Linked DNA regions of Drosophila melanogaster. The protein of the gene in region 1 interacts with the protein of each later gene in a pairwise test. Each region holds a gene or a part of one and is shown on either strand. Other genes may lie near its edges. The genes, in order: CG14071 and SmD2.

Region 1 (4,058 bases):
TATTTTAAATATAAATGAAAATTGTTCACGTACGTGTTAAATTTCCAATAGTTAAGATTACTACTACTACGTTTTTATTAAGTCTGTCTTATGTTACGAGCTCCCATTTATTTTCTTAACAAAAAGTTTCCGCGTGAGCTCTTCAGCTTACTCGACGACTTCATCTCCTGGTTTCCGCTGCTGAGTATTAAGTATACGCCCCGAGCAACAATGATGATGCGCAGGTTTTTTGTATTTTAACTTTCAGCGAGGCAGCTGGGCGGCAAGTAAATATAACCTGTCCGGAGTCCGGACTCCACCCTTCCCCCTACTTACTATCATCCTTTACCGCAGGTAAACCACAAGAATACCAACCACCCAACCTCCCACCCACCAGACCCCCTAACACGTGGTCGGTCTCCTTGTGAGCGCACGTGTGTACATTTTTAATTATGCGAGAGCACACAGAGCGACGAGATGAAAACAGAGCAGCGTGAATGTCGGGCAACTAACTTATTAAAAAGCACTCGACCGGCAACGTATATATTTGCCAAATAAAGCGGAAATTAGGGCAAACTAGGTGCACGCATTCTAGCCCCCCCCCCCCCCATTTCCTTCATTTCCCAAGGACGAATATCCAAGCCTATCCTTCCGTTCGCAATTTTCAACTGACCACCTTGTGGCGCAAGCAAGAAGTGGAAGTTACTCAAGCTAAATTTTCCCGCAAGTGATTTGCATAACTGTAGGCAGATGCCAATGGCTGTTGCTCATCACATTGTTTGGCATTTTAAGGGGCGAGTTATAGAGAAATGTTCGGAGAAAACCCCATGAAATCCTTCAGTAAGCCGGCTTACTGACTGACTGAAGATAACCTAAAAGTGTGCAAAGCCTATTAAGCTGGCAAAGCCAAGAGCAAACGAATAAATGAAAAAATCCAAGTGGATAGAATTGTTTGTGAACTACTCGTAAAAATGTAACTTCCATAACTGAGTTGGAAATTGCTTAATTTGACGGGGCTGGTCCGAAAATCGAGTCTACCGAATATCATATACCGTGCAGGAGTTTAAAACGGAAAAGTCGAAGATGATCAGATATCAGATAGTAAAAATGGTAGCCATTTTTTAAATCATTGTGATATTGTTAACAATACTTTTAAGCAAAAAAACAAAGATATATTTATTAATATATATTTAATATGTATTTTCATTATTATAATTGGTACCAGTTTCGAATGCAAATTTGCATATTAATTATTAGTGTAGATGTAATTATAATTCATTGGTCTTGAATAAATACATGTGTAATATTTGTTTGCTAAATAAATGAAACAACATACCCCTCATACTACCTCACAATCAGAGCACAAAACTACGCACCATAAATCTTACGGCCAGTGGAAAGGGACTGGGAATTTGGGCAGGGCAAAAATTATTACATGCCTCATTTGGCAGCGCCTTGAAGAGTCTGCTTATTATATTTTGATTATTTTCGGCACGCGTGTTTCGCAGGACCTCAAAGCCAGGATCTCCGCGTCGAGAGCTGTAAACAAATTCGTGAAATACGCAGACTGGTCAAGGGGCGGATGTCGATTTGCAAGGACGAGGAGGATAAACAGGACAGCTGGGTTTTTTTTTTTTTTGTTTTTTGTTTCGGTTGCATAATTTTTCATTTTATTTTTGGACTCGTTTGGCCTGCTTTTGTCCATAATGAGATATCTCTATCCTCCTTTGTTTCTTTTCATCATTTTGTCCATTGTGTTTCGGTGCTTGTTGTTTTTGCATTTCGCGAAATGCCGCTGGGAAATTCTTGTAACCAACAAAAAAAAAGGAGCAAAAATCCACTGGGCTCAAATGGCAATGATGGCGTCGAGGTGGTCTTATTAATTAGGACACGCGCCCTGAGTTGTATATATTCCCAAATATTCTCCACTTCAAATATACACGTGAACCTCAAAAGGGACCGCTGTTATTGTTATTTAAATGCATGGCAAGATTCTCTTTCAGAAAGCTTCCCTTGATTGCCAAATTTTGATTAGCATATAAATGCAGAAGGGACAAAAAGAAACTATATCTTTGTGCCGTTAACTCGTGGAAAATTTTAAACTTCAACACATTCTTGTCCACTAAAAAGAGATAGTACGAAAAATAACTATTTGAATGATAGTTTACAATGCTTCTGCTATCATCTACTCGTAATGCATTTCGGCTTAAACAATTTTTGAATGTAATGATCTATTTCCTTTTTTAACTACAGTCTTTTTGTTTTTTCTCGAGTATTCAGTGGACGCCAGCAACACATATTTACCAATCATAAGTAGGTAGCTAGAAACTGTTCGGATTTAAGGAACAAATTTATTGCTAAGTTAAATCAAATACTGCTCCACGTAGAAAACCACAAACTCCTTTCAACGGCGTAACTACACTGTGCAGCAATGTCCAGATCGGCAAAGGGCTTTGGTCGTTTAATCAATCCGGGCGTGGTACTCCATCCGGAACTGCATCAAAAGATGGCCGACTTTGAGGCCATGACCATCGAGCGATCTGATTTGGATCACGAATTGAGCCGATTGCGCAAGCAGCAGGACGATACCGAGGATAATTTGGCAGAGGCGCTGGCCGAGGACGAGTTCCAGTGCAATTTGAGTGGCCAGCCATTCGTTGCTCCCAACGAGGACGAGCTGCAGGAAATTCTGAGGAATCACCTCGGTAGCATTATCAACAAGCTGGCTGCCACGTACGAGCGCCTTATTTACCTGGATGCGGACATCAGGAAGCTGAAGGGAGTCATTGAAAAGGCCATCACAGTGGCTAATGAGGAATCGGCAGCAGCCGCCTCAATGTGAAGATATGTATTTAACCATTACATACGTTGTACTTCTACATATGTGTATCTTGAAAATTTCAGTTCGATTTAATGTGCAAGTAAAGTTTGCAAGTATGTTAAATGATTCGAAATTGCAAGGGCTATGTAAACATGTATTTGTATTCTCCAGCTTTGCCATATGTACCCGTGTGCCGTCGATAATCAGTAAAATATGTGTTACTTTTGGATAATGAAGTCCACGTTCGATGCAACGCGAAATCCATTCACACATTCCGCTGGACATCTTAAATCATTTTGGGTGAAATTAAAGCCGCAACAATCTCATTTCCGGTAATTCTTTATGCACTCGCGCACAGACAATCCAATGCGAGCCAGAAGACACTGCAAATTTAATTGCGTATACGCAATGTTGCCACTGCCGTCGCGGAAACAGCATCCGCTGCGGCAGCAGCTACACTCTGCTGACTCTATCGTTAAGTGCATAAATTCAATAATGCCGAGCGTCTGGCGGTGTCAACGCGCTGCAAATATATAGACTCGCCGGATCGATAAAGCTGAAGCTTGAAAATTTATGGAATTTCCTGTGCATTGAAAATGGTCGCCATTTACTGAATATATTTAAGTAAACTACAGCTCAAAACAAAAATGCATATGTTATATATTGACTTTACATAAAACCCCAAAATGTTTAGAAACATAAGAAATTAATTCTACTTGGATAAAGTTAAACTTAAACAATTCTATACCAAACTGTAACTTTAATTGCCAAGGGGACCACAAAATGGTCTGCGCTTACATGTATAAGGATGCAATTGCATATTTGTTGTTACTTTGCTTTGGTTAAACATTAATAGTCGGAGAATTGAGAAGGAAGTCGAGGTATATTTGAAGAAAGCCAGACTTATGGGCCCTGTCCTGTACTCTAATTAATTAAATTGAAGCGTTCGACGACGAGGTAACAATTTCAATTTTATTCCCGTGCCAGCCAGACTGGTCAAACAAGCCAAATGCAAATTTCCCAACCAGACATGGGTCTTAACAAGAACATTTGCATGAAGTCAATCATCTCGACCATTCTGGCCAGTGAACCGAAAATAAGACACTTTGGGTCTGTACCGCTGTGACTCTGATTGCCTTTCATCCCAGTCAATTGGAAAATTCGCACTAACAAAGCATTTGTGAAGGTTCGAAAAATGTCGGATGTATTTCATATTTTTACTTAATTTTGATTCCTGTTTGTTAAAAGCACATTTTAA
Region 2 (3,351 bases), on another chromosome or scaffold:
GTGCGATCGTCACTAGTTTTTAGTAAATAATGAAAAATTTAAATCCAGGAGCAGGATATGAATTAAGGAAGGAGAAAAGTCATTTTACTTAAGTCAACAGCATTTATTTTGGTCCAGCTTAGGGCTGGTCGGTCTGGCCAGCAGAACCACGTTTTCCAAAGTCACATCCCTGGGAACATAGAACTTAAGTTCTGCTTGATATCCGTGGGATCGTAGATGCTCCAGTCGTCCATAATCCAGAACCCGCTTGCACTGTTGGCCAATTTGTTCGCGCTCCTGGCGAGTTAGACGCTGCGTGTTCGTCTCGGTGAGCTGAAAGTCAGCCGATTCCATGGCCTTACGCCGCTCTCGGCTTAAGCCCGTGCCACAAACTGCCCAACTGACCATTTTGGTTAGGATAACGAACTCCCGTGGTCCAATTCCAGCTTCCTGAAGAAACTTGCGTCCCACGTAGGAGCGCCAGGAGCAGCGATGATGACAACACAGGGCGATGAGAACGTAGTCCGAGCTGGCATTTCCATCACCGAGTATACATCTCAGGGTCAAGTCTGTAGCTGCTCCACAGAGGTGCTTCGAAAAAGCCACCGTTCGTTGGGTTTTCTTTAGCTCCGGCAGAGCAGAAAGCTTAAGATCAGCGATATCAGCACGGATACGTTGCACCACCTCCCTGTTGGCCAACTTGTTGTCCTTCTTGTGCCGCAGGGACATTCGATCGATGAGGACCACCTGTGAGTGACTCAACTTCTGTTCCTGCAATACGGTGGCCAAAAAGTAGGCCAATTGTCCCTTTCCGGCTCCGAATTCTATATAGCTCGTGTGATCCATCAACTGGTGATCGTGTTCCAGGATGCCCAGCAAGCTAGTGGTCTGGGTGAGCTGGCGTAGCGTTTCCTGGCCGTAGTCCTTGCGACTAAGTTCCTCCTTTAGGGATTCGTGCTCCAGCTGCAGTTCCTGTATGCTGGAATTGATGTGCTTGTCATACAGATTCTTAACTTTGTCGATCAGACTGTAGAACTCTTCATCCGCCAGTTCGTGCAGTTTTATTTGATTGAATTTGTTCAAATCTTCGTCTGTTTCCTTAAGATTGTCTCCAGAATTCACTCCTTTTACAATGTAGGGCAGTGAACTTTCCTGATCCCTGGCATTGCAAATGGTCAAGTGTTTGGCTAGTTTTCTTTTAAACACGGTATGTTTGTGATCAAGCGGGCAGGGAATACGTTCCTGGAAGGAATCTTCTCTAGCTTTTTCATCGCAAGTTGCAGTGGTGGCTGCCGATGAGGCATGGGCTCCACAAAACTCACTGCCCTTGTTTGCAGTCATCTTGCAGCGGCGCTTTTTGCGTAACACCCAGTAGGAGCAAGTGGTGGTTACCGGCTTCTCCGCCTTGACAGTGGTCATCGTCTCTTTCACAGGTTCCATTCGTTACTTTTATTTTCAAAATAAATTCCTCCCAATTCGGAACTCGTGCCAGGCAGTGTGACCAAGGCTGGCACACTAGATAACACTATTACCAACTTTTCACAAAAATGTTTTAACTATGGTCTTAAATATGTTTACACTTCTTACATTGAATATTTTAATAAGTTTTTTAATAAAAAACTCAAATTGAGCTTGATTTTTCAAAATAATAGTTTATTTAATTTACGCGAATGCCAAACGCCGATAGTTAGCTTTGAAATTCAGGGCTGGTCGAGTGCAAACGTCCTCAGAGCTGGTAACACTGCAAAAAAAACGAAGCCGCGCTGAATACTTTTGCCAACAATAAACGCAGAAAACCAACTGAGAAGCGAAACAAGAAGACTATCAACATCATTTAACAAGCCATAGTTATAATCCGCTATGTAAGTATCCCGGGGCAGATGGGACAAACCATCGGAAATGGCGTAACTGGCAGCGGCATGTGCGCCGGCATTTTGCATTGTTAGCACCACGCTCGAGTTGTGGGTGAAATACTAATGTACTGTGTTCTCTGCAGGGCTCTTGTGAAACCGAAATCGGAGCTGACCCCGGAGGAGCTGGCGCGGCAGGAGGAGGAGGAGTTTAACACCGGCCCGCTGTCCGTGCTCACGCAGTCCGTGAAGAACAACACCCAGGTGCTCATCAACTGCCGCAACAACAAGAAGCTGCTGGGCAGGGTAAAGGCCTTCGATCGGCACTGCAACATGGTACTGGAAAACGTGAAGGAGATGTGGACGGAGCTGCCGCGGACCGGTAAGGGCAAGAAGAAGGTGAAGCCCGTGAACAAGGATCGGTTCATATCGAAGATGTTCCTGCGAGGCGATTCTGTCATCCTGGTCCTAAGGAATCCCCTGGCCACGGCGGCCGGCAAGTAGTCTACCATAGCGATAGCGTACAGCAACCAATATCCATCAACTTCAGTTAATAAATCCGTAAATCAACCAAATAAGTTCTGTGGACCAAAATGTGCCATTAATTAAAAGTGTGAGCTATAATTTACGACGGAAAATATCCCATCCCAGTAACATATCCCATTATAAATTTGTATAACGAAAGTACAATCCGTAATCGCAATTTCTTATATTTTGATTAACATCTTTTAATCGATTTTTCCTAAAGTATCTGTTTAAGATTAAAACGGAATCAATTCTCCGAAAGTTGCTTGTGCAGTTTTGGAACATAGTCGTCGTACTGGGCTTGGTAGAAAGTTCCAGCAATGGGATTGCCCAACTCGTGATTGATGGCAAACTTGGCGGCACTGAATTTGGGGCGATCCTTGCGGGATCTCTTGCTCACGCGCTCCTCGTCGAACTCAAGTTTGCCGGACTGCTTGTACAGCAGGAAGACGTAGCGATGCAGACCCGTGCCCTGGGGCGGGCCGGAGCCAATGTACTCGGCGATGGGCTCACCACTTGCCAAGTCGTTGCCGGCGATGTTGGCCAGAATCCAGTGCTTGAACTCGCGGAACTTGGGCTCCGCTCGGCTGGGGGCATCGGGATCCGTCATAATGAGCGTGTAGAACTCCCCGGGCTGCGCGTCCCACTCCACGACTGGCTGATCCTTAACCTGGGTGGGCGTTAGCTCCACTCCATCCTTGGCCACCAGGTTGTTGCTGTACGTGACCTTGAATAGGAACGATTTCACAGTTATTTGCTTGATTTTTACATTGTTGCGATCTATCAGCTACTTTACTTTAAGTTAGCTACCTTCTGACCTTTGATCAGAAAGTTGTGACGAGATATTTATCTAGATTTCTATTAAGCTCGGGTGTTAAATGTTTGAAATATTTTAACCTGGTCTGCAAGCACGTAGTTGAGTACATACTATTCGGATCCAATTTATTAAGACAAAGATATCCTCTATATATTTGGATCTTTTTAGTGTGCTTTTGTT

What was found.
Region 2: the proteins of CG14071 (region 1) and SmD2 interact in a two-hybrid assay, tested with the Drosophila melanogaster proteins (one large-scale study listed by BioGRID).

The regions. Positions count from the first base shown.
Region 1 is NT_033779.5:10,887,131-10,891,188, reverse strand, and holds CG14071 (uncharacterized protein), read left to right. Parts: upstream 1-2,261; 5' UTR 2,262-2,410; coding exon 2,411-2,821; 3' UTR 2,822-2,913; exon of another isoform or gene 2,914-2,920; intron 2,921-2,971; 3' UTR 2,972-3,544; downstream 3,545-4,058.
Region 2 is NT_033777.3:6,344,261-6,347,611, reverse strand, and holds SmD2 (small ribonucleoprotein particle protein SmD2), read left to right. Parts: upstream 1-1,700; 5' UTR 1,701-1,839; coding exon 1,840-1,841; intron 1,842-1,975; coding exon 1,976-2,333; 3' UTR 2,334-2,601; downstream 2,602-3,351. Other genes in the region: CG18048 (uncharacterized protein), read right to left, coding at 94-1,419; CG17919 (uncharacterized protein), read right to left, coding at 2,602-3,081.